2 linked regions of the Bombyx mori genome follow. The protein of the gene in region 2 interacts with the protein of the main gene of each other region in a pairwise test. Links are inferred from orthologs where the notes say so. Each region holds a gene or a part of one and is shown on either strand. Other genes may lie near its edges.

Region 1 (16,624 bases), on a different chromosome or scaffold from region 2:
TAAAAAGTTAATTACCTTTAGGTAAGTGCCTACTTAACAGCTAAACAGTGCCAGCCCTATCGAGCCCCCCCCCCCCCAATCTACTTTGTCCAGGCAGCGCGCCGAAGTACAGCTATAAAGAAAAGTGCATAATAATTGGCAAGGTTAGCCAGACTAAGTGACTGAAGGACTCAAAATGCCAACGCCCCAGTCAGATCTAAGATCGTATCAAGAGGACTTTGCAGCAGCGTTGCCTTCGAAGCCGCAATCCTTATCAGGGTGGGAACAATTTGAGGAGGTGAATGCGGAGCTTCGATTGCCTAAAGAGTCTTCACACGAACAGCTCCCAGAGTGAAGCAGTAAGCCTTATGATTGAGGTTAAGAGCCTCGATGAAGGATCAGGACTTTTTTGTAGTGGTACCTAACCGCGTGGACTCACAAGAGGTCCTACCACCAGTAACCCCCTGTTAACCTGTTTCAGGGGAGAAAGTAGCAGAGATCCCGGTGTCCGCGTCCACGTTCACGGTGTCGTGGCATCCCGCGCGCTACCTGCTGGCCTTCGCCTGCGAGGACAAGGAGCCGCCCGAGAGGAAACGGGATTTGGGGAATCTCAAACTGTGGGGACTCTCTAGTTCTTAGTGTTGGAAATGTAATATACAAAATAAACTAAAATACTAAAAAGGATTGTGTGGTTTTATGAAACCACGGTAAAAGTGAAACATTTACATTAGACAGTGACAAAAACAAAAACAAAATAGCGTGGAGCACTGGCACAAATGAGTAACAGTCTATACACTACACGGTCAGCTGCTGCGAACTATAGGCGCCGCCATATTGGCCTTGGCTGCTCTGACGAGCGCCTTTCACTTTATCCCTACTCCGCGGCCGACCGTCACGCGACATGCAACACACAGACGAAAAAGTTTGAGACGATGTAATAAAAGATTAAACTAAAAATTTTTTTAAACTAATGGTCCCCCGGTAGTCGAAATTTGACTATAATTAAGTCAAATTATAAGTTTGTACACTACTATGGTTCTATATCGAGTTTAATGAGGGACGGTTTTATTCTGAAATGAGCTCAAATGGTTTTTTAAGCAAACTATAGTAGAATTATTTTGTCCGTGCAGTTTGGGTAATAAAAAATCGGAGCGGTGAAGCGAGTATTTCGCTCTCTCTTCCATTCAAGAGCCTTATGGACGGGCATCGTGATGCACATTATTGTTGTCGATAACCGTTATCGATAGTGTATTTAGTTTTTGTGGGTTAGAGATAAAAATGAAAGAAAAAATCACTAATCGAACACTTACACCACATATCCCCGCAGCAAATTAACGAGAACGGCAGAAATTAACACATTGTAACTTTTCGGGATCTATTCTCATTTCCGTGAAAATTTATACACATTGTTGATAACAACGCGTGCAAATATTATTTTGAATAAATTCTGCCGTTTTGATACAAAACAAAGGAGTAGCCATTGTGTCCCTAAAGAAATTCAGAGAACGAATGCATAAAAGCACATTTCTCTTCGACATATGTACTATAATTTGCAGGTAGGTACAACAAATGACTCATAACATAACAATGTCTCACCACCCTTCGTATACCACCCCGCCGCCGTGTACCTGCCTTCGCTGACTCATTTGTTTTTATCGATAATGGCGTTGCGGCCGCGCAACATGCTCACCGCCCTAGCCGGGCTATGTTTTATGACCCAAACTGCACGGACAAAATAATTCTACTATAATTTCAAGTAGGTACTTACTAGTTTTTTTAAGTAAAATAAAAACTTTTATACGTAAATTATAGTTTTATTTATATAATTTTATTGATGCATTTTTGTTGAATTTTCGAACTTTTTTCCTAAAAATATGTAATCAGTCTGTTTTTAAAACGCACATTTAATTCGCCATTAATGGTGAGGTAGGTTTGCGCGTTGACCTGTTGCCCTCGGTCAGCAAACGGGCGAACTCGACTGTCCGAGGTCATTAAGAAGTCAAATAGTTTAAAAACACGAAAAAATAGTTCAAGTACCATTTTTTCCACTGTCAACATTTTGTTTTTTATTTTTGTTTAGTTAGTGGCTAATGAAGATCTTTAGTATAAATAACGAACTATATCGAACCAAAGTGATTGTCGAACTTTAATTAATACGAGTACATATTAAGTCTTTCCCTATGAAGTTGTCATTTGATATAGTGTGCTTAGTGCGAGTTTTTTAACGTTCTGGATAGCGTAAAAGTTTAATGTTTGCCTACGTTTGCCGCTAGGGGCGCTGTTCCAACTACATACAAATTTGAGTTAACTTTTACGCTATCGAGAACGTTAAAAAACTCGCACTAAGCACACGGATAGTTTCAGTGTACTTCTTGAAGAAATGAGGCGTACGGGACTCAACAAATTTCAAAGGCAATTTGTACTATCTTTCGGGTTTTGAGTTTTTACTCAGCTGAGAAGCTCAAACTGGAAAAAGTGGAGGTCTGTCGGCGTAAGTCTGGTCTGGTCTGATTTTGTAGCTTAGAGGCCGCTGTTGGGCCGGAGGAGGTCGGGCGCCGGAGATTAGAGAGCTTCTTATCTCATACATAACCCAACTCATACATGTGAATAGGAGATGTATGGAAATGGTAGTGCAAGGTAGAGGGGGAAGAGGTCGAATGAAGAAGACATGGATGGAGTGTGTGAATGATGATATGAGAGAGAGAGAGTGAGTGTTGAAATGACTACTGATAGAAGAGAATGGAAGAGAAAAATTCGTTCGAAAATTGGCAATATTTTGAAATGACAACTTCATAGGTAAGCACAGGTATTTTATAGGAAATATTAATATTAAAAGAACAACAACAAAACAACAGAAAACGTCATATATATATAGGTCGAAATTGGATCATTAAGCTAACACTTATTACTAAAGTAATATCTCTAAGAAATAAAATTATCGTAACTCGATATTTGTGACGCAATTGACTATCTAAATCTAATTCGCAAAATATACAAACATTTATACAACTAAAGAGGTGTTTTAAAGTATTTTGGTTTCAAATATAATATTATTGTCAAAATACATTAATATTTAATATTCGATGACTCCGGCGCCACTAGCACCAGCTACGCTACAAGAATAGTTACATCTAAACAAATTTACATCTACAACAACAAAAAAATTTACAGTCCCACCGTGAATCGAACCCGGACCCCCAGCGGCTCCAACGATCAGAATAGTCGCGACTCGCGAAGACTCGCGTCGGTCGGACGAGAGTACTGCCAGCCTGACCGTGAACGATCGCCGTGGTTTATGGATTCACACTGCGTTCTCGACAAATGAAAATGTTCACCATCGAATTTTTTTATAACGCCATCTGTCGCTCGATATGCGGACCACGGGCTCCCTCTACCTCAACACATAGAATCCAGTGAATTGTTCAGTTTTGATCCGTCGTTGGTAACCTTGTGAAGTCCGCGATGCTACCCATCTGGAGTGCCAGGCATCACCAGGTCTCGACCTGGAGTCGACCTTGCTCCTGCAGGCTGCGCACGGCGTCGCTGCTGGCGGCCGCGCTGGTCCCGGAGCACACCCGGATGACGTCAGCGAGCGCCTCCCGCACGTTGTCCGGCATGCTCTTGGCGTTGCCGGATATGAACACGTGGGCGTTGTTGTTCAGCAGTCGCCAGATCGTCTCGCGGTTCTCGAATATCTTGTGCTGGACGTAGCTGTGGAAACGAGACCTCTTACTGGTGGTGACTTTTTGGCGGAAACGCGAGGAGTTTTTACTGGTGGTAGGACCTCTTATGAGTTCGCACGGGTAGGTACCACCACCCTGCCTATTTCTGCCGTGAAGCAGTAATGCGTTTCGGTTTAAAGGGTGGGGCAGCCGTTGTAACTATACTGAGACCTTAGAACTGATATCTCAAGGTGGGTGGCGCATTTACGTTGTAGATGTCTATGAGCTCCAGTAACCACTTAACACCAGGTGGGCTGTGAGCTCGTCCATCCATCTAAAAAATAAAAAAAAGAGACAGAGTGTTGGTACAAAGCGTGCACAGCGACGCGGTGCCGCCCCCAAGCCGAGAGGGACACCTGTATCTGGCCAGAGGTCGCACGTAGCATTGTCCCTCCATTGACTTCCCTACTCCTCAGTAAAGAGGTCGATAACTAATAAGATATTATATTCTCCTACCACCCGATCCCCCATCTGTACTGTGGCTAAGACACATTACGAGCCCACACGGCCGATGCCAGTATCTGAGTAGTTATTTCTGCTTCGACAGTACTTATTCGTCTTGATTATAGGGGCGGTACAGTCGCCATCAAAAATCTTATTACATTATTAATAAAAAGTGCTCCAGTAATTGCTCCATTTATTTGTAATAACATTGCGTACAGGGAGACGCGTTCGTCAAACACAATTTTAGGCTCCGGTGTGTTGAGAGTTGTCACACCGACGACCCTCAGTACTACGATCACTCCCAACAATACTACCGAAGTGGTGAACAAATATAATTATCTCCAACTCACATCTTATCTTCCTGGTCTCTAGAAAAAGCGCAGTACAAACTCAAGTTCCCATCTCCCACCATCCCCTCCAACTCTTCCCTGCAGTGGTAGTCCTTCTCTTTGTACCGACACCCGAAGAACAGATGCATGATGTCCTTGGACGCTGTGCCGTAGTGAACCCTTTCTTGGAGCAAACTCCTGAAGGGAGCGAGCCCCGTGCCTGGCCCCACCATTATGTGAGGCACGCTCTGAAAGCCACAAACAGTTATTGTAGTGCTGAATTTTCAAATATTTAAAATATATTAAATAAGTTATTCGTAATATAAATTAAAATGTAATTTATTTATTTATAGAAGTCGTTTTTAATTTATTGTATAGTTTAGCTTATTTATTTTAAAAAAAAAATCTTTTGATTGAGGACAGCTGTTTACAATACAATCTTGATACTTTAATGGGTGGCCTATGGGCTCAGGTGACTTCTTTACATCAAATAGGCCTTGAACTCTTTAACCTGAGCAAGAATGAAACCTACAATAATATGAGCATTCACCTTTTTTTCCCTACCTATTCTAGTAACTTTGAGGGGTTATTCTAGATTCACCGAACTAGTAGGTGAGCTCAAGGGGCTCAAACCTGATGTTGTTGCTAACACGAACCCTAGCAATAGCAGTGCTCCGCAGAAACTACCACCGGGTTGGAAACGCAACCCACTGAGAAGATGAACTGGTGAGAAACTCAGTGGATTGTGTCTATGGGTTCATTTACTCGCCGAGCCCTTCGTCGCAAGCGACGGGTTCGATGAGAACGACGACTGGGGTAGCCTAAGGCGTTGGCATTTTGAGCCCTTCAGTTACTATGCCATTTATTATGGCACTTTTCTTTTTAACTGTACTTTGGCGCGCTGTCTGGACAAAGTACAGTAGATTGGGGGAAATCAGGACGCTTTCCAATTCCAATACAAATTTTTTGGGCGACCTCGACTGTTTACCATTCGGTCCGCAGGATCGGGAATGAGCACTCACCGCATCATCAGGAAAAACAAAGGTCCCCTTTTTGATCCACCCGTAGACCTTGTGACCGGGGGGCAGCGCCGCGAGCCAGTTGGAGGCGAGGCCGAGGCGCGGGCGGCGCAGCGCCGTGCGGTACCGGACCGCCGCCACCAGCAGCTGCAGGCCGCGCCCCGCCGCCGCCGCGCCGCACGCGCTCGCTATCGAGAACGAGCGCGGCTTTATAATCGAGAACAACTCGAACAGCGTCTGTATGGTGAGCCGCGCGGCCGAGCGGTGGAAGTCCTGCAGCACCTGCGAGCACAAGACACTTACTGGTGGTAGGGTAGGTACCACCCCCCGGTGAAGGTCAAGGGGTGATCTGAGGGGGTAGAGGCCGCGCGACGCGCTACCTGCACTTTAGCAGCTGCCAAAGAGTATCTATAATAGAGCAACCGATTGGCGATGTATCGCGTCCCGACTCGGCAGGCTGGTTTTGGTCCAGCGGGGTATTCCGGGACACCAGCGGCACCGTCTGGGCGGCCTGACGGGCTGCTGTACCGAGACGGCCGACGTTTCTGAGCAGCCTCGAAGGCTCCGTCGGCCGGGCGTCCTTGGGGTGAGCTGCGCTGTCTGGTTGTAGTGTTGACCGCGGTAACCCCCCTACCTCATGCGCGTTCTAACCTCGGAGAGGATCGGACGCTTGGGCGAAGAGTGCAGGGAGTCGTTTAGTGAGTGGGCCCTAAATTGCCTTGGGTCCGCGCGCTCCCTAGGCGCGGGGACTTCGCCCTCGCCTCGACCTCGTAGGTGGTTCGGCCCCGGCCCGAACAAAAAAAAAGGGTAGGTACCACCATCCCAACTATTTGTGCCGTGAAGCAATAATGTGTTTGAGTTTGGTTTGTTTTGAAGGGTGGGGCAGCCGTTGTAACTATACTGAGAACTTAGAACCTATATCTTAAGGTGGGTGGCGCATTTACATTGTAGATGGTCTCGTCGTGGTCGTGGTAGATGACTATGGGCTCTAAAAATCACTTAACACTAGGTGGGCTGTGAGCTCGTCGACCCATCTAAACAATAAAAAAAACCTATACGCACACACGGTTAGAGTGAGCTCAGAAATGTCCTAACGTTGGCAAAACACCCTGTATATACCAAGGCAAACATTCATGCGCTTAAGAGCACCGGTGGCTCATCATACGAGACTTCTTGTCGAACCGTTCGTTTCGATATCGAGTAGAGGGAACTCGTTCTCGTCCCCGTCATCTGACTGCCGGAGTCCCGCAAGGCTCCGCACTCTCCCCGTTACTATTTAGTTTGTATATCAACGATATACCCCGGTCTCCGGAGACCCATCTAGCGCTCTTCGCCGATGACACGGCTATCTACTACTCGTGTAGGAAGATGTCGTTGCTTCATCGGCGACTCCAGACCGCAGTAACCACCATGGGACAGTGGTTCCGGAAGTGGCGAATAGACATTAACCCCACGAAAAGCACAGCGGTGCTATTCAAAAGGGGTCGCCCTCCGAATACCACTTCGAGCACCCCACTCCCCAGTAGGCGCGTAAACACCTCCGCCGTTAGCCCCATCACTCTCTTTGACCAGCCCATACCGTGGGCCCCGAAGGTCAAATACCTAGGCGTCACCCTCGACAGAGGGATGACATTCCGTCCCCACGTAAAAGTCGACTCTACCCAATGCTTTGTAGACGAAGCAAACTGTCCCTCCGTAACAAGGTAACCCTCTACAAAACTTGCATACGCCCCGTCATGACGTATGCAAGCGTAGTTCGCTCACGCGGCCCGCACCAACTTGAAACCCCTTCAGGTTATACAATCCCGATTCTGCAGGATAGCCGTCGGAGCACCATGGTTCCAGAGGAACGTGGACCTCCACGATGACCTGGAGCTCGACCCCGTCAGTAAGTATCTACAGTCGGCATCGCTGCGCCACTTTGAGAAGGCGGCACGACATGAGAACCCTCTTGTCGTGGCCGCCGGAAACTACATACCCGATCCTGTAGACCGTTTGGTAAACCGTCGACGTCGCCCAAAGCACGTCATCACGGATCCTCCTGATCCATTAACGGTGCTTTTAGGCAATACAAGCACCGGTCACCGTCCTCGCCGAACCCGTCGCTTGCGACGAAGGGCTCGACGAGCGAATTAACCCACAGACACAGCCCACTGAGTTTCTCGCCGGATCTTCTCAGTGGGTCGCGTTTCCGATCCGGTGGTAGATTCTGCGAAGCACTGCTCTTGCTAGGGCGGTGTTAGCAATTCTCCGGTTTGAGCCCCGCGAGCTCACCTACACAAGCTAGGGTACGCTGAAATAGCCTCTCAAGGCTATCAGCATAGGTAGGAAAAAAAAAAAAAAAAAAAAGCACCGGTGACCACTGTATATCAGCTAGACTCACATCTCTGGCTGGGTGGATGTATTTTCGTTATTATAAGGGTTCAAATAATCTTTTAAAATCAGATGAACCCTCTCGTCACTCGTCTAGACAATTAAAAAACCTGAACACTTCACGTGGGACACGTCCCATTGCGTGCGAATATTTAAAATATATCATTTAAATTCTCACTTCTATAACGGTTCTCTTCGTTCTCCTACAATAATTCAGCCAGTCCTCCTGACCCTCTGGGGAACTGAGCTCTATACATTTGTCCCTCTCTAACTTGTCCTGGGACACAAGTGCCAGAATGGAGAAAACATACTGAGTGGCGTAGCATCGCAGGTCCCAATACTGTTCGGCCACTTCGTATAAAGTCAAGGGGTGACATAGGAACTCAGGCACAGGCATATCTGGAAGGATATTAGTAAGACTGATAATTCAACAAGCTCATCTCTCATCAGATTTTAAGCGATCACCTTTGTGGGTTTATAAGTAAAGACTTCAAAATTAACTCTGATTGTGAATGCCCAATACTGATAGGACCATGTAAATTTCAAGATGATACAAAGTGATATTAAAATAGAGCCGATTAATGTTTCCTTCAAAATTAGTGTCATTCTTGTCTTATAAAAATACAGGACATGTTTTTTAAAGTAAAAAAACTTCATTATATATCAAAATATTTATTCATCTTGTTGCCATCCATCATCATCACTGAGGAAGCGTCTCTTGGCAGCCGTATTCATGTAGGGGCGGAGCGCCCACTCGGTGTCGGCGGCCGTCAGGGATTCCAGGGTGCCGAGCTTGATCTCATATAACCTCATTTGGAAACGTGGACCCACTTCTGTTAATTCAATATCCTTGCCTGCCTGGAAATCATGATATACATATATGTATTGTTATTTTTTTATATTACAAGTTGTTATAAAATAAGCATGCTCTAATACCTAATGTAACCGCATGTCACTAATACCTATGTAATATATATATAAAGTCAAAACAGTCAAAGCCAAAACTATTTTCTGTAAATCAACTGTTTTTCATAAAAAACATTTGAAAATAGACTTTTTTCAATCCAAAAATAAATAACAAAGAAAAAGAGAAAATGTGATTTAAGACAAGTCTTGAGATCAACATGTCAAAAAATTATAATTATAACTAATGCTGAATACCTTTTTATATGTATGTTGCCTGAAGCATATGTAATCATCATGGTTCGCAAATGATATAACTCTCTTTGAATCGGGTTTTGGTACAGGAAACAGGTACTTTAATATACTCATTGTACGTAAACCTGGAATAAGTATTAAAAATAGATTTATTCAAGCTGATAGGAGAATAAAGAAATAATAATTTAATGTTTCTAATGGGTAAGTTTAAATTATTGCATGGAGTTTTAAATTAATATTTTTTGTTAATTATATTTCAGACAAAACAAGATTCTAGACTTCAAGATTGAAATAAACAGTGGTATGAAACTTTGTGGGTTTACAACATACCTAAAAAAAATTAATATAGATGTTTCTAACTCACCAAGATTACTCTTAAAGTTATGGAATATGAGATGTGGATACTGTTCACTCATTGGTCCTATATCAGGTATATCATGTCTCATCACAACACCCGATAATGTGAAGGATGCTGTTGGACCATATGGGAGGTGGCATATTACCTTAAAACAAAGAAAAAAGTAACGATCTGTCAAATTATGCTATTAAATTAATTTGCATAATTTATTTAAAAAAATTACATTGTTTGTGCTAAATGTTGTGTTATTATTATTACAATATATATTTTTTTAATTTTTACTGTTTTCCAAATTCATTCCACCTAAAACATAATCTAAGCTCACCAAACTGTCTGGAACTCCTCGATGCTCGTGTACAACTATGAAATCTGTTACATCATTGGCTCGACAGGCATGAATCAATTGTGACATCTCATAACCACCTCTGTTCATACGCTGACTGTTCGGAAATATTAACCTAAAACATTGTATTTAAGCTATAAATTTAATCAATAGGCACAAACCAAAAATAATTGGCTGAAAAACAGTTGTTCCATGCTTTTCAATAATTCTGTAAAAATCTCACCTCAGTTCTTTTACAAACATCTTGAGCCTAGCACTAGGCTCTCTTGATGTGGTAATCATGATCTTCGGATCCTCGACACCTGCATATCTGTATTCATCATCCTGTGAATTGAGTGTGTTTGCCCCACCACTGAATCCTCCGATTACCGCCACTCTTTCCGGTCCTAAAGATTGAAATACATGCTAAATTTATTCAGTATTGCCGATTCTATTCTCCAAATTTGGAGATTTTACCACAAACTTAATTAAGGAAATTCGCCTTTTATTTGCAATTTGAGGTTAGGACACACAAGTTTTGATGTGAAATTTTCAATACTTTACTTACCTTTATCTTCATATTCAATTCTCTTCTGTAAGGCGATGGCATCCTTCCGTAAATCACCATGTATAGGTATATTCTCTTCAAGACTACGTTTGATCTGATCTTTTTTAGCTTGTATACTTTTTTGTTTTTCTTCAGCCGATTTCCGGTATAAATACTCGCGGCGTAATCGCGCCTGTCGTCGCAGCATTTTTGGTTTGTCGTTACTATAGTTGAATTCGATAACTAATTTTACTTTTGTATAAATTTAATGTTTCAAATGTTTGTTTGTAAAAAGCTACAAAAAACGCGGGTGACAATTGACAACTGACGTTTACGCACGTGTTGTTTTTTGTGATTGACATTTGGCGTTTCGTTTTTGCTATGTAATAGAATTTTATTACAAGTTAAAATAACTTGCAACACAAATGAATAGACCTTAAGATGTTTTGTTTGGAACAAACCGGCCACGAATTAATTGTCTGCAGTTTTTTTTTATCTATAATTTATTTTATATTTATTTTATTTTTATGTTAAAGGTACCAGGACATAAAATCCCAAAAAAAAAAACATTTGAATGTACATTGAGGATTAGTTTTCCTTTAAAAATTTTGTCCGGGGAAACCACAGTGGTGTCATGAGCATATCTCCGAAATTTCAAGAAAGTAAGGGAATAGGGTTGAGAACGTATAAGAACTAATGAACTGATGAGATTAGTAACACTAACAAATTATAATTTCTCGATATGCGAAGAACGGCCGGCGACTACCCAAGTAATCCGAATTAGCGCGCCGCCGCAAAGTGGATGCATTTTTATGAGACGTGCGGACGGCACTTTTAAGTTCAAAACAATTTATTTGACTCTCTTTTTTAATTGCTGGCTGTTTATTTATTGATACTCATCTCAAATTTGCTTTCATGCATCAATAATCTCGATAATTTTCTCTCATAATGTCGTAAGATATAGAATAAGCTACCAGAATGAAATATTGTGATACATATTATTGACATTTAAAAACATACTATCCAGCCACAACTATTCTATAGGAAAAGCATCTTGTAAGGGGACAAGTTGAAAAAGTGTCCACCTGTATACAACAAGTTATTGTTGGAAGACTCACCAAAATAGTGCTAGTGTAGGAAATGGAAGAGATATGAATATAGCAGACTTAAAACAGAGTGAAGTGTGCTGGATTAAAGTGAAGTGGGGTAGTATAGAGTGCTCTTTCTAAAATCCTTCCACTTGCCACTATGGTGCCACCTTAATTAACTCTCTTTCAGTGGACACTTTTTCATACACTGAGATGGTGCTCCTTATTTCTACTCCCTTCTATAGAAGTATTTATACATAAAGATCAATTAATGGTGGACAATTAAATATAAGCAATTATTAAATGTTCTGACTGCCAGAGCACAACACATAATAAGATTATTTTACTCAATTTAAATCAATGTTTTAACATGTTTAATTGTAATCTTTTATTTCAGATAAAAATGCTTACCATCATGATATTCTTCAACTAGTAATCTATAATGGGGCTTAATATCAATATTGTTACTTTCAAGTATGTTAAATAGGTCATCAATGTCCTCCTTTGAGTTCCGAGGTCTTATATTGAAAACATCACCAGGTTTGTAGGTTAAGCATTTACTAACAGATTTGAATGATATTAGTCTTACATCCTAAAAAAATAGATCTATATTATTTATATGTAATCACAATTTTACTTTTTTTTTTGTTTCTTAGATGGGTTAACGAGTAACAATGCTTATTATTTAATATGAGTAACAAAAACACTTAGTTACTGATAAATTGGTCTAATTATTTATTAGGTCCAAGCCCACACAAGTGGATGCTGCCATTAGGCTCATGTCTTTCATGGAACCACCCATTCCAGTTTCAACGGTTATGCTATAAGAACGAAATTGAAGCAAATCCTTTCTTCACCTTGTAGGGCAATAGCATTCACTTATCCTGTCTATGGATTCTAATAACCACCTAATATTAGGGTACAAGCACTATCTTGAGACCAGTCTTGTCGAAAAAAAGGCAAATAATAACAATCATGTCAAAACAAACTAAATGACTAAAATAATCATAAATAAAAATTTACAACATTTTATAACCTTGTTAAGAGTAGTGTAAAACTTATCAATTTGGCACACAAAATTTTGAGTCATTGATAAGAAGATCAAATATCACTTTGTAAAGATTCAGTCATGATTACATTATATATGATACTTTAATTCTATTGGTTTCTATTTCTAAGTAACTTAAATTGTCATAGATAAGGATTTTATTGAAAGAGTTTATAGCTCTTCTAAGGATCACAGAATCACATTAGCTAGTCAATATGTTTCACCCTTTAAATAAGTATCTCTCCCTCCATTGAAGTTTTTAAAAACACTTATAGGTCTACAAGAAAAGGCACTTTTCATAACATTGAATAATGAAGTACCTGAAAATGAGATTCATCCGTAGTTCTAACATTACTATCCACCTCCAACAACAAAGCTTCTTGGTTATTGCTGTTTTCGTGACCAAAATATATATCTTCACAAAATCCACTTTTAACATCAGCTTTGTCCTTCAACATAGAGACCTTCCAACGAGGAATGAATTCTGATTTTACATCTGTCTGTATACTCGGAAAATATTCTTTGAGTCGTACAAAGTATTCTTTGATCCATGGGGAAACTACACCATCGTGGCCCAGGTCATGTTGGTAGTCACATAAACCTACAAATGTTGTAAATACTTTATTATTATGTTCAAGGGGTTCTACGTAATCATCTGGTCAGTATCAATAACTTTGCTAAGAATATTTGCTATTCGAAGTCTAGGGATATTTTCCCTTGTCTTATGTGTTTGCAGTACCAAAGAACATATTTGCTTAAGTTTTTTTTTTTTTTTTTTATATTGCTTAGATGATTGGACGAGCTCACAGCCCACCTGGTGTTAAATGGTTACTGGAGCCCATAGACATCTACAACGTAAATGCGCCACCCACCTTGAGATATAAGTTGTAAGGTCTCAGTATAGTTACAACGGCTGCCCCACCCTTCAAACCGAAACGCATTACTGCTTCACAGCAGAAATAGGCAGGGTGGTGGTACCTACCCGCGCGGACTCACAACAGGTCCTACCACCAGTAAAGTAGTTGAGTAAGGATATTTTTTGTTACAATGTTCATGCAGTTACAGATTAGAGTTTAATAATATGCCATCACAATGTTTAATTTTGTTTTTTTCGTTCAGTTCATTGTTTTTATGTGTAAAATTATTTTATCTTTTTTATTTTAAAAAAAAAAACGCAAATGAATAATATTCATCTTACTTAATAAAAAATAAAGTTTGATTCAGAAGTTAAAACGGCTTATATTTTAAGTACTTACCAACATCTATTAATGGTCTGGCTCCTAATTGAATGAGGCGCTTGTGAAGCTTCTTAGCGACAAAATTGAACTCTGAATATGAAGAATCTCCTAAGCCCAACACTCCAAATTTCAATTTAATTAACGAATTCGCCGGTAGATTTTTCCTCAACAGAAACTTCCAGAATTTCTTCATATTATCCGGTTCATCGCCTTGACCCGTCGTAGCGCACACAAATATCGCAAATTCTTCATGAATCAGCATAGAAATGGGATACTCGTTCATCGCTTGAACGGGCCCGCGAAAACCCAAAGCTTTTGTCGTACGCCATATTCTTTCGGCTATTTCTTGAGCCGTGAATGTTTGACTACCGTACAGCACCGTCAGTCTGCCTATTTGACACATAATTTATTAATGAAATTGAAATTAATGAGAAAACTTTAAAGAACTTTATGGAAACGATAGTTCTGAGCGGTTTACTCCATTGTCAAAATAGTAAAAATGTCAAATTCTTATTCGTTTGGCAGATTTTATTTTGGCGTTTAGTTGTCAAACGTTTTGTTATCATTCTGGCAAAAACCCTAATCGGGGTGAATACCACAAAATCCAATTTGCGCATGCATTTAGTATTATAGTGCTCTCTACATCTACATTAAACGGAAATAATACAAACACTTTCCGAAAATTCTTAATGTATTGGCAGTAGTCTTTATTTAAACGCTTTATAAGACCTTTTGGTGCGGCATTGTTGGTGCGGCCTTTTGGTGAGGCATTGACGAGAGTTCGTGAATATAAATTTGTGTTGATAGGCTAAGTCAAAGAATTTCCCCTAAAAGGCAAGATATATAAGACCTTAATAAGACCTGCCGTCTTGTATAGATCAGCTTGTTGGACCACTAAAATGGCGGATGAAAGGCAATTGCATGCAGCAGAGTACAGCTGAGAAGTGCGCGTTTGGAATGGTATGGACATGTGATGAGACAAAATGAAAATGAGGTTGGTAAGAGAATGTTAACTATGAATGTGGAAGGATATAGAGGAAGAGGTAGACCTAAGAAGAAATGGATGGATTGCGTGAAAGACGATAGAGGAGTATGGAAGGAGAAAAAATGTTGCGCCGACCCTAGGTGACTGGGAGAAGGGCAGGAGAATGATGATGATGATGATGAGGCTAAGTCAAAAAATTAAGGAATATAGAGTGGAGTGGGTCTTTAATGTTTTGTAGGTCGATATTCCTATCATTTAACAGGACGAATACAGGTGAAGGCGAACTATTGGCGCGCACTACCTATGTAGTTTTAGGACTATTAGGTTTCGTCGAACTGGAGTAATAGAGCTTGATTGTTACCCCACTCTACCAGATACCCAACCTTAAACGAACTCCCCGGCGTTAAAAAAAAGGTCGATATTCTTGTCGATTGTTATTAAATCAAAGCCTTGAATAAATTGCCTGATTTTTTTTATTTCAGAAAACAAATTTTATTTATTATGGATGGCGTTGATGTTACACTACATCTATCATTGAAAATATTGAAAATTGTAGCTGTTAAACTAAGCCCCAAATGGCTCTTGAATTTTGTAAAGTTTCTTTAGAGTGAAATGCTTATAATGACTGTCTTGACTTGGCTTATTACTGGTTTTCGGTATGGCCTTCACTTTAGGCGCATCCTGGATACGAAACAAATAAATTTTCTAAATGAATAAAGAACAACAGCAACATTTAGTTGAACAAAAGTAAAGGACTTTTCTCTTCCGATTCTTCTAAAACACCAAGGAAGCTTCAAAAAACTTGCACGATTTTATTAAAAGCACATAAAATAATAAAGATATCCTAAAAAGTCGAGTAATTAATAGCCGCAAACAAATTGATAAAAAAATTGCTTTTAGATAGTCCAGTTTACGTCTTGTATTACATAGGTCTCGAATTTTGATCGTGCAGTAGACAACCCTAGTTCCACCCCGTTCAATACGGCAATCTTCTTTGTCATTCCTATTACCGATGTGATTTCCCATCTTGCTCACATCCGGCGCGCGGCAGTCTCGCGGCCTGTGTTTCAGTGCACACTCGCTCCTCAAGAAAAGAGCGGGAAAATATTTATATAAAATTAAATAGGCAGTGTAGTGTTTTTCGACTCTACGAAATGTGAGTATTTTATCCTTTTAATTTGGATTTACAATTTTAAATTGCACATTTATTAAATAAAACATTATAGATAATTAAAAGTAATGTCATTTAATGAAAATTGGTAGACGCTTTGTTATATTATGTTATATTGTTATATTAATCAATATAATTTTCTAAAGAATAAACGTGGATTATCAATAAAACGCTGTCAGTAGACCGGGCGGTGTACACACGTAATTCCTAATAATTATTTCGTAAATTCATGGAACATACATATTGAAAGCTGTTGGGACAAAAATGTATTTAATAATTTTAATATTCAGTTTAAAACGTTTAAGCTACTGATTGTTAAATTTGAATTATAAAATGATCCGAATGTGTCAATTTATGCAAGGAAAGAGTTTATTTAGTTGAAAAATAATATGAGTACCATTAAGGAAATTTAAACACATGGAATGATATTTATTAGCGAGTTTATTAATATCTTCAGTACGTTTAGAATCGAGCTTATCGTAATTCGTATGATGATTATTATTTGAAAAATTCGGACAATAACATATATCATATTTCTATTGGTAATAACATATTTCTATTTATCATACGAAAGAATATTATGTTTTCATTACAATCATCCTATAGGATTAGCAGAATATCGAGAGTTGAAATTTTTAAAAATTGGATTTAGATTAAGGAAAAATGTAGATGAGTACCGTCCTATTCAGATCCTTTTTTAACTTCATAGATAAATTAGCCTATTGTCCACTTAAATGCAAATAGTTAACGTTATTCATGGACATCACTAAAAGCATGTCAAAAGCGCTGCATAATTTTACGGACTCCGCCAAAAACTTACCTGATTTCTTTGATTGAATTTAT
Region 2 (16,243 bases):
TAGCAAGTTCATCATCAACCTTACATATTAAACAATTGGCATCGGTGAAAGATGGTTCTAAAATAACATGTTTCAGAGTGTTTCTTACATATATAACTACCCCTTCATTTTGGTTCCTCGCGTTTTTCGATGAATATGAGATAAAGCCGTCAAGTTTTGGTAAGTGTACAGTACAGAGAATGCTCGTCTAATGGACCTGAGACTGAAGAGATGCCGCGCTTTGTTGAAGCGGTACGCGGGAAAAAATATCGGGAAATTCTTTTTTCGGATGAAAAAATTTTTACCGTAGAAGAGAGCTACAACAAACAAAATGATAAGGTGTACGCACACAGTAGTGAAGAAGCGAGCAACCGTATTCCGCGTGTCCAACGAGGTCATTTTCCATCCTCGCTCATGCTATGGTTGGGAGTTTCTTATTGGGGCTTAACAGAGGTACATTTTTGTGAGAAAGGTGTAAAAACGAATGCAGTTGTGTATCAAAATACAGTCCTGACGAACCTTGTGGAACCTGTTTCTCATACCATGTTCAATAACAGGCACTGGGTATTCCAACAAGATTCGGCGCCAGCTCATAGAGCGAAGAGCACACAGGACTGGCTGGCGGCGCGTGAAATCGACTTCATCCGGCACGAAGACTGGCCCTCCTCCAGTCCAGATTTGAATCCGTTAGATTACAAGATATGGCAACACTTGGAGGAAAAGGCGTGCTCAAAGCCTCATCCCAATTTGGAGCCACTCAAGACATCCTTGATTAAGGCAGCCGCCGATATTGACATGGACCTCGTTCGTGCTGCGATAGACGACTGGCCGCGCAGATTGAAGGCCTGTATTCAAAATCACGGAGGTCATTTTGAATAAACTTTAGTGTCATAAGAATCTATGTTTTGTTAAGTTCATTTTGGTATATGAATGGTTACATAATGAATAAACTTGTTTCAATTATTTTACATTAAACATGTGACAGAATTTATGACCTGACTAGGTATAGTGTTTGTAAATAAGCGCGCGGCACGGCGTAACGTCGCACTGCATGCGCATCATAAAAAGTCTGCCCATCTCTTTCTCGCGCGATCTAGCTTATAAGTGTGAAGAGGACAGTTAATGTTTTGCTTTTGTTAATTTTTATAAATATAGCGTGGTCTTATTTTATTATTGTTTTAATATTAAATTATTATTGTCTAAGTATAATTGCATAAGTTGATAAAAAATGCTATGCAATAGCTTTACCGCGGCAGTCCCCGAGTGCCACACGTGTTTTTTTTTAATAATTAGACGAAAGGCGTAACCACTCCCTGATGATACCTTCTGAATCGACATCATTCTAATTGTCTTCTCTAGTTGGATGACTCTCATGACCCGTTGCACAAAACCTCTCCATGTAGTTAATTAGGCGCTGATAATAGGTTGTGTACAGGCTAGTTGTCATTGAGAATGGGCAATTTTATTCGACGAGAGGTCCATGAGATCCCAGACACACATACCCAAAGTCTTATACGCCACGATTTTTCAATCTATATCTAACGATACTGCTCCATAATAAGATTAAGTCTAATAGGTTTCAACAATTGGTAGAAAGCTAGAAGAAACATTGTAATATAACATTTTGATAACATTTATTATAATATTATAAATCATGACATTTGTCATGATAAAAACATGTGATATGCAGTTAGGGTGTTTTGTGAGCTGGCACAAGTACACACCACGGTCCTATCTATCAGGTTTGAAAGGACAGTAATTATAATTTATAGAATCTAATTTGAGACGTCAATCTCGTGTCGTCAATGAGGCTGCTTCTATCTCCGGTGACCACTCAGCACCAGGCAGCTGGCCGTTAAATTGAACCAGTTTTTTTGCGACCGAAAATCGAGAAATTCAACAACAAAACCATATTATCATATACGACTTCGATACGCCATTGTATTCTGTAATATGAGTAATCGTACAAATTAGCCTTGTTAATTGTTCCTCAAATCTATGACGCGTTCAATATGAAAAGGGGTCATTGACATGTGACGAATTTATGGTTCGCTCTAAAAAAATATTGTGATTGTTGCCAACGTTGATTAATTTTCATATTTACCTTGAACCAGTGAAACCCATTTTAACTATTAATAATTTCACTCATTTGTTACTCGCGCGCCACCTATCATCCGTTAATAAAATTTAACCTTCCTTAGAGTGTCAGCAACAACTTTAGGAAGCATCATAATAAACAGATATACCATTTAGGGTGGCATAACGGACAAACACAGTTTTTTTTAACTAAATAGATAAACCCAACAAATTTCCCATTATTACATGAATTATCTTATAGGTATTACGTCTATTGAGAAGAAAGAAAAAACCGAAATGAAAACCAGATTTCCGGACATGGGTCTCAGTGGACTTAAGGGATCTTTGCTCCCGTTTCCAAAGCGGACTTTCTCCTGTTCACAGACTTATTCAACTAGCATAGATGTGCAACATACATCCTTACGGATCCATCAGATCCATTAACCTCAACACTAGACGCCTTCAGCTCCAACACTAGGAGCAGCCCTGGGGCCCCGGTAACCGCACTCGTCGGATTCGGCAAAGAGTTCCACGTGTAACTTAACCTAAACATCAGCATCAAAATGTGATACCTACCACAAGATTGAAATAATAGTCGAGGTCAATGCGCTAGCCGTTAGGTTATAGGTAACGTTACCACACGTCCCGCTTTGGGCGGGATTGTCCCGGTTTCAGAGTGTCCGTCCCGCTGTCCCCGACGAGAACAAAAATGTCCCGCTTTCATTTATCTGTTGTGCATGTGTTTATTAGAAACTTACCGAATACTTACTTATCCCAAATCCTTATTGTATTACAAAATACATAGTAAAGTAACTCTAATTTTGCTGTAGAAAAGTATTATAGTTTTTTTTTTGTTACGATTCTTTTTATAAATATTGCTTTAATGGTAAGTTGCTATAAGAATTAAGATGTCAGTGAGGGTAAGATACCATAATAAATTAATTCAAGTCATTTTTAAACCATATCTTTTGCTTTTATTTATTTATTTATTTATTAAGTTGCACCAACAAAGTGATCATCAATACAAAACATTAACAAATTGACAAAAGTTCATGGCAGATGTCACCTCAATTATAGGTGCAATCGACAGTGCATTAACATTAAAAGTAAAAAAAAATATTACATCTTAGCCCGACGTACCTTATATATGTATTTATTTATATACGAAATACCGGAGGCGCTTTGACACGAAAAAAAAAGGTCACGTTAGTTATAGGCCAATATACATAATATGTATATTGCAATTTCCCTAAAGACGACTTCCAGGTGGCGATGCAACTGGCATCCAATATCCGCTTTACACCAAGTGTCCTGTAACCTGACCGCCGGTCCGGCGTCCCGAGGGGGACGGGAGAGATGTGCTCCGCACTAAACGCTTCACTTTCCCCCCTTTGCCTTTTCATGAGTTCTGTCTCATGCGAGGTTTGGGTGTTGGTTGTTGAGCGACAGGAGGTTTTAGTCAGTTCGACTCTGACATGCCCCGCCCTCCACTGGGGACGGAGGGCGGGAGTCGGGCGATTTCCTCTTGACCAAAAAAAAAAAGTGTCCTGTAACCTAAAAAATATAAAGGCATATCCTATTTTTCGTGCTTCGTTGTTCGGTTGGATTCGTCGCGCGCCATATCGTAACGTTTTTCGTTCGTAATTACAAGCGGTGTCGTAACAGCGACCGTTCAGCTCAGAGCCAGTTTGTGGTGTCTAGGTACTCGGCTGCTAACTTGGACTAAAAATACATTTGATTTGGCATAGATAACCAGCATCAAAGCGTTTTATGTTATCAAAATTAAGATAAGTTAAAATGCCTATAAAAAGTCCTATTATCATATCTCGCCTAAATAAGAAAAAAAAAGATTTACAAAAAACTTAGGCACTAATCCTATTACTATAGGAATTTTGGAAATTTTGAATGAAGCACTTCAATCACTACGTACATTTGATTTCGCCAGCCTGATATTAACTTAACACAACCTAAAAGTTTTGAAGAAACCGAAACAGATAAAAGTATATGGGTAATGTATTATTAGCACTTCTCAACCTAGCACTTTCTAAATTTGCTGGGTGACTAAATATGTATTTTAGGGGCCTATACTACATATTTAGCCTAGCCTAAGGGGCTATTCCAGCTGCGTCCGGACGCGTAGGTGAGCTCACGGGCTCAACCTGCGAGAATTTGCTAACACTAGCCCTAGCAAGAACAACGCTTCACAGAATCTATCACTGAATCGCGATCCACTGAGAAGATCAGGCGTAAAACTCAGTAGGCTAAATATGTGTGTAATTTGACGGTATCATGATGAAAAACCACAATCTCTCTGATCAAATCCACTCCTGGTAGGTGATCCACTTTGCATTACCACTGAACTATCTTTTTAAACTCGGTTTTATTAGATTTTATCATTCCCGATCCTGCAGACAGAATGGAAAGCAGTCGACGTTGCCCAAAACACGTCATTTCGGATCCGCCCGACCCACTGACGGTGCTTTTAGGTACCTCAAGCACCGGTCATCATTCTCGTCGAACCCGTCGCTAGCGACGAAGGGCTCGACGAGTAAATTAACCCTCAGACACAGCCCACTGAGTTTCTCGCCGGATCTTCTCAGTGGGTCGTGTTTCCGATCGGGTGGTAGATTCTGCGAAGCACGGCTCTTGCTAGGGTTCGTGTTAGCAACGTCGTCAGGTTTAAGCCCCGTGAGCTCACCTACTAGTTAAGGTTACGCTGAAATAGCCTCCCAAGGCGATCAGTTTAGGTAGGAAAAAAAAATTAGATTTTAATAGATAATGGCAAATGAATACACGATTCATTAAGTTTCTTTCAGTGAGCTGGTGTGCTTCTAAAATATCAAGCGTTTTTGAAAATCTAGTCTTTTCAAATGGAGCAAAACTTTTTTGAGATTAGGTAGCCCCTATCTCATCAGCTACATCCTAACTACGAATGTTCCATTTCAACTGAGTTTTTTTAAAGATGTCAATCTACATTACCCCTAACACGTTAGCAAAATCGCGTTTCGTCTGTAACATCAAAATTCTCTGATTCAAATACGGTTGAACCGATTTGGTGCTATTCTTTTTGACACTGCATACAATAGAAAAACAATGGCGAAAAGGTGGAAAACCTTTTTTATTTTCCTGTTTGAAAAATATCATCTATTTGATGGTATAATATCACAATCCCTCAACTCTACGGCGGATGAAAGCTTACAAGAAGAGTGGTTTGGTGCGGCAGGGCCATAAAATTTTCCTTATGTCCGCGGTCTGCTCCCAATAAGTGCAGACCGTCAGACTGTGCAGACCGTGTCTCCTAGGCGCGGACACCTCGTAGGAGGCTCGGCCCCCTGCCGAAAAAAAAAATGTCTTGCGTCGCTTAACAAACACAGCAACGAATGGATTTTAAACAGCATTGTCACCTGCGATGAAAAATTGATGTTTTTTGATGTTACGCCGGCAAGAATAACGCCATCTATCGCCGAATAGTCGAACGAATATTGAAGAATATAGTAGCACCGAGAACGCTCGAGAAGTACAACGCCATCTATTGTCAGATAGCGGAAACACAATACTAGAGATATGTGAAATATTCTCGATAATTCTAGGGATGTGGTATCAGCTATAAAAGCGTTGCAGGGATGGCACGCAGTCAGTCAGTAATCGGAACTACTCGAAGCGAAACAGCGGACGGATCTCCTGAAGCGAAGCGAAAGAAGTGAATTGAGAATTTTAAAGTGTTTGTGAAGTGTTTTAAGTGTTGAATATAGTGTAAACTTGTGATTCAGTAGAATTTTTATTTATCCCGAACGCCAGCGCGTAATAATAATCAAATGTTGTCATAATGTTAGTAAGACACTGGTTCAGCACCTAAATAAAGACCTAAACGAAAACTTAGGTACCCCTAAGAAGTCAAGGTCACTGTTTGGTGGTCTAATGCCGGTATAATTAATCACAGCACACCAGCACTTCTTCTTCACCAGCGTTACTTCAGGTGAGTACTGTGAGGAACCGTGAGGACACTATGATGGAGGAGAAGGTCGCGAATCTCCGACCGGACTTGGTTAATCGCTCGTCACCGATGCTCCTATACGACAACGCTTCATACGGCATAACACGGACGGTCTCTAAGCTACAAGGGCAAATAGAGCAAGAGCCCGCGAACCTTCGTTATTTTATGAAAGCTTGTCAGCGCATCCTCCCAACACGGGTAAGAACGATGAACCATTATGAAGTTTGGGTAATCGTGGCTTTGGCAGGAAAACGGTAATAAAAGTGTGTAAAATACTGAGTTTACACACCTTTAGTATCGTTTTCCTGTCTGAATTTGAATTAGATCAGAATGAAAATCGATCAGTTCTAAATTGATCAAATAATAAAGTGCGATTTTTTGGTATTAGCTTCAGAATATTATTAAAAATCACGTTATTCATTACCAGACACAACATTGTGGCAACCCCTTGCCAGACACCTTTAATGTTCATGAAATTATAATTGTACGTACCTACGTAATAGTATAAAAGCTGATTTTTATATACAATACTTGGGTAATAAGTAGATGACATTTCGTCATTAGCTAGACATTTTTGATAGTTCCAACCTCTTGCCAGACAAGTATTTTAAATGTTAAGGAGAGATTCGTGATTAGAATGACTTATCTAAAAACTAAAAACTAAAAATCTCTTCTCTTCTTTGTCTCACCTTATCCCACTAGGTTGGGTCGGCACACAATTTTTTTCTATTTCATTCTCTTCTATCAGCCGTCATCTCAACACTGACTACTCTCTCTCTTATCTCGTCATTCACACACTCCATGTGTGTCTTCTTCGATCGACCTCTTCCTCTTTTTTTATTTATTACATCATACATCTATATATACATCTCCTAGTCACATGTAGCCTGCCGTTCTAAGCCGTTCCAATTTCAAGTGATTGGTTTTTTAAACCTTTTTTTATTTATTGCTTAGATGGTTGGACGAGCTTACAGCCCACCTGATGTTAAGTGGTTACTGGAGCCCATAGACATCTACAACGTAAATGCGCCATCCACCTTGAGATATAAGTTTTAAGGTCTCAGTATAGTTACAATGGCTGCCCCACCCTTCAAACCGAAACGCATTACTGCTTCACGGCAGAAATAGGCAGGGCGGTGGTACCCACTCGCGCGGACTCACAAGAAGTCCTACCACCCGTAATTACGCAAATTATAATTTTGCGGGTTTCATTTTTATTACACAATGTTATTCCTTCAGCGTGGAAGTCAATCATGAACATTTGTTGAGTACGTATTTCATTACAATGATATATAAGATATAAAACAGGATGAGCCCTAAAAATGACAGCATAAAATATATTTTATCAGCAGAAATAGACAAGATGATAGTACCTAATGCCTCAAACCTATCAACACCCAGGGTTCTTAATTTTCCCTAGCACCACTAATCATGGTAAAGTTAATAATCACTATCATTAGCAGCATTATATATATATATCAGACCCTTTCATTATTTCTCTGCAACCTGTATTGTATTCCTGTATTCCTGTTACATAAAAAAAGTAGACTGCAGGCTGTTGCTGATATCCATGATTAAAGTGATATTTTACCACTGCCTGCCTGCAATGGCAATGAATAAAACATAGTAGCTCTAATTCCTCATAAATACCCATGGTATGTTCCAACAAATACAAAAAATTGACAAGCCAAAAATATTTTATTGTCCCTTATTCTTAATTAATTTATTTTTCTTAATCAAGCTCTTGGTGTTATCATTTAACTGCTCAAAGAATGCTTTTGAAGTCTTCACTGATTTGTCACTGACTTCTACACTCTTTGTAGTATTCCTGCTGTCTGTTACTTTTGTAACCTGTCCTTTTTTCTTCTGCAATTTCTTCTTTTTCCTTCTTTCTCTATTTTTGTCTGTCTTTGTTCTCTCTTCTTTGCTAATAAGATCTCCTTTCTGTTTTCTCTTAATTTCTTCGGGAGCCAATAGCGCTGCATCACTGGTAGCTACTGGAGCCACCTCCTCCATCGATATTGCTGGAGTATTTGATACAATTGTCACTTCAGGCTGTACAGCTTTCGGTGTGTAGTGATAATGACTCAGTGCATCTAATTTTGAGAATAACTGTGACATGGCTTCTCGAATTTCTTTATGTGCTTCTGGTTCTTTTTCTTCTACAATCTCTCCTGATGCTGCCTGTTTCTGTTTTAAGTACTCCGCCTCATAGACTTGAGCTAAGCTTAGCTTGCTCTTTGAATGATCTAGAATTTCCTTCTTTCGGAATGCCAGTTGGTCATCAACTGGCTTTTCTTTTTTAACAACATCATCCCAAGCTTTATCTTTGATTCTACGTTTAATTATGTCTTCTAAAGAAACTGTGGTCTGTTCAGTTATAATTGGAGCTGGACGTGTTGTTAAATCAAAATCCACAACTTCTTGAAGAAGTGAGTTTTGAGGACGTTTCGATGCATCCACTTCACCTTTGAGTTGCCAAGAGGCTTCTTTCAAAGTCTTTTCCTCTAGTCGTTGAATGTGTTGTTTTAGTCTTTGCTGGCGTTGCTCAAACTCAGACTGTTTTTCTTCAATTGTTTTACTATTTACTTTATTATTTTTGTTACTATCAACTGAATTGTCATCTGAATCATCAATAGATGGTTGTGAGAATCGGACTTGCTTTTTTTTATTTGACTGCTCTGTAACCTCCTCTTCTTCATCTTCAACTGAATCATCTATTTCCTGGTCCATATCATAGTCCCCATCTTCAGCACCATCTTGATCAAAAAAGTCATTATACATGACATTTTCATCTTCCTCCTCCTCATTGTCATCTTCGAAGAAATCTATAGACTCCTCATCACTGTCACGATCACCTTTGGTTCTATTTGTTTGTTTTTTTTCTTCTTTCAATAAAAACTCTTCCATTTCGGAAAGTTTGAAAAACTTGTCATCCACCTGCGAAGGCCTGGTTTTCTTTTTTGGTACATCACTTTGAACTCGTTGAGATCTGCCATGCTCAAGTTCAATATTCTCAGATACTTTTTCTCCATCATCTTCTACCATAGGTTCAACACCATGAGGTAAGATCTCCTTGGGTTTTTCTTTAGCAACTTTTATGGGAAATACTAATTCGTTATTTGCGCTCATAGAGTTGGCCACCTCCCACACTATCTGGTCCCAGCGTTGGGAGTTCTGCAGCTCTATCTGTTGCCATATCTGCTCCTCATCAAAATCTTCCACAATTAATTCCTTTAAGGCCCCACTCTTCTTCTTCTTATCGCTCTTCTCCTGAGATTTCGTGTAATCGTATACCGATTTTACAAACCTTTTTAGGTCCTCTTTCAACTCTTTTTGCACAGACAAAAATTTTACTGGTTTATCAGTGTAACTGTTGAATTTATTAAGTATACCTTCCAAATCTATGCAAGCCATTTTACTGTAATAAATATGATAATTTTATCTTTAATGTGTCATGTAAAATTTAAGATACGGAATTACTGAAACTACCAAAGAAAACAAATCGCTGCAAAACCAAAAAACACACGCGGTGCATTATTTTGACGTTTGATCTAATGGTAGCATTGGCAACTAAATGACACATTGGTCTATTTGACATTTTTGTATTTTTTCATTCGTCCATTGAAAGGCCAAGAAAACATAGGCTATTTAAAAGAAATCTGTCACGGCAAAAATATAATCTTGGAATCAAATATGGCATTAAAAATGTAAAGAGGGTGATGACCTTACAATAATTAATTCATTGCTCGCATGCTCGCCAAAAAATAATTTGATCTAAAATGTTATTACAAATCAGAATGTTCTGTTCATAGTAAATGGTGCACATCTATAGTTTTAAAAGGGCCAATGTATATTTTATACCTCTTGGTATCCATGGGACCAATACAACCAACAAAAAATAAAGTTTATGGTAATGTAAGTAGGGATGGTCTGTAACAGATGAAATCAGAGACCTGTTCCACCTGTTCCTGTTCCATTGAAAGAACAGTTCCAGTAGCCTGTTCCAATATAACAGCTTGTTGTGTTACAACAGGCTTAATAATGTTTGAAGGGTGGAGCAGCCGTTGTACCTGAGACCTTAGAACCTTTATATCAAGATGTCTATGGGCTCCAGTAACCATTTAACACCAGGTGGGCTGTGAGCCCATCCACCCATCTAAACACTAAATATATAAATAAAGTAGAATATATTCCACATAAAGGAACAGTCACACATATGGAATGGTTTCAATACATTTTTTTAAATGTAAATAATCCTTCATGCTTTCTCAGGCTTAGGACTGACAACTTGGTTTATTAATATTAATAATATGTGAAACTAGTTTTGCCAAAATGTATTTAAATTAAAACATATAGCCCATATAAGCATGCCAGACCTAAAACAGAATAGACAAGTTCAGAAGTTTGGACTTAGTAAGCGTTCGGATACATGCTAGGCCTTTTAACTCAATTAAATATTTTTACCACCATAATAACAACTGTCTATTAATCATTTTAAAAGTATATTATCTTCAAATTTTAAGCAAGACATTACAAATAATACCATATTTTAAATGATATATAATATAACAGAGTACATTTATTATTGTATATAATAATTTATGCGTGTATCCGAATGTATTTACTAATACCAAAGGGGAATATGCATGCATGTTAATGTTATTGCTATTTTTTTTTCTATTACAATAAGTGAAAGGAGAAAAGAGCATGATACAAACAGTTTGGGAACATGATGTATATGCCATCTTTTTCTATTTCTATACGGGAAAAGAAAAAAGAGCTTGTTCCAAACAGTTTCGTTTCTGGCTGTTTGCTGTGGAACGGAACAACGCAACATATGGAATATTGTGGAACAGCTGGAACAGTTTGAACAGTTGGATCAGTTGTTTCGGTCTATAGACAACAGTTCCAAGTCTTTTCATAGACGAACCTATGAAAAGAAAACCTGTTCCGTTTGACTGTTCCGATAAATACGCCTCACCCCTAATTGTGAGGTGTTTTGTTTATTCTATGGCGACGTTGCTTTAAGTTTTGACATGGACTTTTTGACGGGAACGCGAGGAGTGAAGTTGTGTGAATTGTTTTATTTTGTCTGTTTGGTGTTTCTTCAGGTTTAAATGTGTAATAACGGTGGTTTTTTAACTGTTTAATATCTGTAAAAGTGCACAAATGTGGGAAAATGAAACAAAGCTGCTGGACGTAGCTTCCCAGTATCCTCCAAAAAGTCCATTGAAAAAATCTTAGTAAACGACCACAATTTTACTGAGATTGTATTTCATCCCATATCACCTCATCTCATCTCATTTAATTTCATCCCAGTTAATTAATGTCTCAAATTAATCATCTTCATTTTTCATAAAAATAAGAATATAAATTTAAATAAGATATGACTTAAAAGTCTTAGTTACCAGGTCATAAAATCCCTTAAAAAAAGTTTTAACTTTTGACATTTATATTTTATTGTTTTGATGTGTGCCCTTTTTATTTTTTTATTTGTGAAAGTTAAAGTAAATAATAAAATATTCATTAATTATAATTTGGTTTTGATTTTTAATTTCATTTGAGTTTGTCTTCGTAGGCTACCTTAATATCACCAGATAAAACGTAAGTAATGTGCTTAACTGTATATTGTTTAAGCCTGTTATTTTTCACTTGAGTGCCCGCTGTTTCTATACGTCCATCTTCGTGATGCCCACGTATTTAACTCGTAATTATACTTTTTAGTCTTATAAAAAGGGTAATCTCTTATTATTTTACATGTTAACCCACACACAAAATTCATACGTGTGTTCTTTTTTACAAACTAATGAAAAGTATTTGCTTACAAATGGTCTATATGACTAAAAATAGGAGGTAATATTAGCTGAAATGCAGTAAATTTCAGGAAATAAATCATTCTGAAAAATTTAACATATACTAATGCTTTGTATTGTATAATAACATATTATTATGCTTAACATATATGCTTTTAGCATTATCCACCATTAAGTTATACTTACTGATACTACACAAGGAATTTTTTTTTTTTTATTTTATGTTGTCTTTTATACTTTGATTAGTTTACAGATATGTAAATATGGGACTTAAAAAATTTTTGACCTGGATGTTAAGGTTTTGCATAGGATTATATTTTGGTTTGCTTGATATAAAAAGTGAATTTTAGTTACATGAACAGGAATATTTGGTTGTTCTTGTATATCACCATCTATAGTCAGGTGTCAAGTAATTAGAAAATTAAGTAGAATACAGTGTAAGAATTCTTAGCTGATAATATAATCTCAATTCTGGTCAATATACCCATTTTTGCACACCTAAAAGGGCTCAAGCGGTAACTTGGTCATCACTTAATTTGGTGCATTAACTGAATTAAATATATCTTCTAAACATATATTAAGTAAATAAAAATAAATTAAATACTTTCTCTTGACTAAAAATGCCCTCATGAGTAAATACTGCAAGGCTATTAGATCTGAACATATTGAAGAAATAACATGTAAAAAAATGTATCAGTTAGGTTCTGCTTGCAGCTCTGCCCACATATACATTAACTTTCTTAAGATATATTTTATCAAAATCCATTTAGCAGATTATGCTGGATTTATTAAAAAACATGCAAATATTTTCTGATAATTTCTTCACATTCATAATTTTAGACAAAACAAAACGTCAATTCTAAATTATGTAATAAAATCCAAATAATTCTCCCAAATTACATCCCAGTTAAATTATCATTAAGATGAAACTATTATACCTCGGGAACAAATTACTGGGATTTATTGATTGATGAAGTTCAGAACTAGACTTTTGTTGAAATAAAATATTAAAGATGGATTATTATCCCAAGGGAACACATTACCGGGATACGAAGTATCTTATGTGTTATTACAGGAAATGGACTATCTATGTGCCAATTTTCATCTAAATCTGCTCATTGATGTATGTTTGACTGAGTATCCAAACATCTTCACAAACATTTATAATATTGGTAAAACTGAAACACTTTGCTGTGACTATAGCTAATTGTTTAAAGAACATTAATTGCTTGAAAGTACTTGCATGTCGCCTGTCATATCTTGATGCTACTGTGACAGAAACTTTTCCTGGAAACCAAAAACAACTATAGCAAATTTTACCCCAATCTGATGAATGGTTCTGGTGCACAGGAGGTACATACGTTGTACGGAGGTACATACGTTGTTGAACAAATTGTTAATTTTATTAAATAGATGGATGGTCAAGATCAGCTGGAAATGAAGTTCAGCAGTGGGAGTGATGTAGGTGGACTAGAGCTCTGTATAGTTTGTGGAGACCGAGCATCTGGAAGACATTATGGTGCTATTAGTTGTGAAGGTACAATCTTTATTTATGATATTTTAAAATTGCCTTGCGTGATTCTCCTTGGTATAGAATAGTAGCTAGTAATGCTATCTTCTATCATACCTGTCTTGGTCAGATGAATGATAGAATAGAATTGAGACTAACTCATGTAATTTAGTTGCATGTATATGGGCTCCGGTAACTATGGGCTCAATCAAATATATGAAGTAAATAAAAAAGTTGATAAACCTAAAGAAAACACGCTTTTATGGCTAGCTGAAATAAAAAACAGGTGCTAGATGTCACTTGTTGTAAATGTTATTGACAGATATTGGTAAAAGTAATGTTGTTAATCATGAAGATCCTGTGTGCTTAGTGTGAGTTTTTTAATTTCTCGATCGACTAAAAGTTAACTCAAATTTGTATGGAGTTGAAACAGCGCCCCTAGCGGCAAACATCGGGAGGCCGTTCCAACTCACAAGCACACTCAAGCACACTGATCAGCATAGTAGCACATTTTTCATTGGTCCTTGATAAGTGTGCGAAGTTTCTATTCAAGCCAATACTTTTCTGTGAAAATCTTGTCCAAGGATTCCATAATATAGATAAATGCAAAGTTACCAAGAGCATAAAATACACTATCTGCTGAACATCATGCTATGAACAGCAAGAGTGGAACTGTAAGACTAATTAAGGAACACTCAGTAACTCAGTAATGTTATTTTATTTTTATTGCCCTTGTAGGCAGACGAGCATACGGCCCACCTGATGGTGAGTAGTTACCTTCGCCCATAGACGTCAGCAATGCCAGGGGCAGAGCCAAGCCGCTGCCTACCGCTGTTACCTTTTCCCTTCTGATCTTTTAACCCTTTCGCTACTATCTATGATTATAGTCACCGACTGAAAGACACCGCCTATACACGACGGGTGATGTATGTTCTTTCAGCATAGAGCTCCGTTTCCTGCGAAACACTTTGTAGCAAAGCTTGGTGTAGTGAAAGCGTTAAAAGATAAAACGCAGGTATTCGTGAAACATAATAGAACAGAAATCGACGTGATTCCTTCAGAGCGCCACAAAGGACATAGGTGAACCGCATGACAGTCAAAGGGTTAAGACTTTTCCAACGTACTGAAATGTTTGCCGCTGGGAATTGTTTAATTTTATAAAAACGCCTTCGCATTGCATTATTTTAGAACAATTTATCATTAGAAAAGTTTAAGTATGCCAACTTAAAAAAAAAACACGTGTGACACTCGGGGACTGCCGCGGTAAAGCTATTGAATTGCATTTTTTATCAACTTATGCAATTATAATTACACAACAATAATTTAACATTACAACAATAATAAAATAAGACCACGCTATATTTATACACATTAACAAAAGCAAAACATTAACTGTCCTCTTCACACTTATAAGCTAGACCGTGAGAGAGAGAGAGATGGGCAGACTTTTCATGACGCGCGCACTTATTCACAAACACTACACAAGCGCAACGTGTGAATGTGTTGAACGCGAGCTACATGGTAGGCGGAGTGGAGGGTGTTAGGTTTTATTTTCATTACGGAAAAGGAATAAAAACCGTTTTTGAAATATTTTCCATTGATGCTATTGGTCATAATGTGATGTCATAGCCTTGCTCGATAAATGGGCTATCCAACACTAATATTATTTCAATTCGAAACAGTAATACCTGAGATTAGCATGTTCAAACAAACAAACTCTTCAGTTTTAGCATAGATATTTGGCCAAATGGGTTCATTTATGTTTCAAATACATCTTTAGCCTGGATTTGGTTCATGTGTTAAACTTTCCACTTATTGTATTTTTCAGGCTGTAAAGGCTTTTTCAAGCGTTCAATCAGAAAGAAGCTCGGGTACCAGTGTCGAGGTACTATGAACTGTGAAGTGACCAAGCATCACCGGAACCGGTGCCAGTACTGCAGGCTGCAAAAGTGTCTTGCTTGCGGGATGAGGAGCGACTGTGAGTTGTTCTCTTTATTATTATTATTTAGTTCTTAGCAATATTTGTTATTATTAGTACACAAGTCTACCTGGTAATTGAACCATGGACTCTACACACAAAACATCTCTAAAGAATGTTGTTACCTTCTATATTGAAAAATCAAAATTCACTACCATCAACTTACAGCTAAATGCATCAGATGTTAGTGCATCGGATCACTGTCCTGTCTGTTTCTGCCGTGAGTCGTAACTTCCAGCGTCAGGAGTGGGACAATCAATGGGCGTTACAATTGAGACTTCGAAGCACGGCTCCCGGCATCCACTGAAGCTATAAAAACCGAAAAAAGTATCACCAGGCTCTGGACTCACACAGACAGAACCCACTGACTTTCTCGCCGCATTTTCTCCGTTGGTCGGGATTCTGATAGCGCTGCTCCTGTTAGGCCTAGTGTTAGCAATTCGGTCAGGTCGAGCCCTTGAGCTCACTAACTCGTCCGAGCCTAGCTGGAATAGGCATTTTGGCTATTAGTGATTAGGTAGGAAAAAAACGCTCTAAAAAGGTTCTTCTTTTTTTTATTGCCCTTGTAGGCAGTGGAACATACGGCCCACCTGAAGGTGAGTGGTTACCGTCGCTCATGGGCTTCAGTAATGCAAGAGGCAGAGCCAAGTCCTTCAGAGCCTTCTTCTGAGGACGTGAAAATCAAACACTGCTTCTGGCTGCTTCGGAAATTCTTGTCAGGCCAATAAATAATTATAAATAAATAATCATAAATAAATATTTACTAACAATCATACCACGTTAACTAGTCCCGTGCTAAGTTCGTAAAGAACTTTTGTTACAGGTACCAGATAATGGAAATAAATGTAAGATTTTTATTATACACATACATATATTTAATATACATCCAT

What was found.
Region 1: the proteins of U3 small nucleolar ribonucleoprotein protein MPP10 (region 2) and U3 small nucleolar ribonucleoprotein protein IMP4 interact in a two-hybrid assay, tested with the Drosophila melanogaster proteins (2 studies listed by BioGRID). The link is inferred for Bombyx mori from reciprocal best matches to the Drosophila melanogaster genes CG13097 and CG11920.

The regions. Positions count from the first base shown.
Region 1 is NC_085132.1:2,071,322-2,087,945, forward strand, and holds U3 small nucleolar ribonucleoprotein protein IMP4, read right to left. Parts: upstream 10,744-16,624; 5' UTR 10,460-10,743; coding exon 10,273-10,459; intron 10,112-10,272; coding exon 9,949-10,111; intron 9,841-9,948; coding exon 9,708-9,840; intron 9,528-9,707; coding exon 9,389-9,527; intron 9,150-9,388; coding exon 9,028-9,149; intron 8,725-9,027; coding exon 8,539-8,724; 3' UTR 8,523-8,538; downstream 1-8,522. Other genes in the region: THO complex subunit 3, read left to right, coding at 461-618; NADPH-dependent diflavin oxidoreductase 1, read right to left, coding at 3,468-3,690, 4,496-4,722, 5,497-5,775, 8,045-8,265, 11,751-11,931, 12,708-12,988, 13,644-14,028.
Region 2 is NC_085133.1:362,229-378,471, forward strand, and holds U3 small nucleolar ribonucleoprotein protein MPP10, read right to left. Parts: upstream 9,630-16,243; 5' UTR 9,467-9,629; coding exon 7,748-9,466; 3' UTR 7,729-7,747; downstream 1-7,728. Other genes in the region: Or (nuclear orphan receptor), read left to right, coding at 13,279-13,402, 15,204-15,353.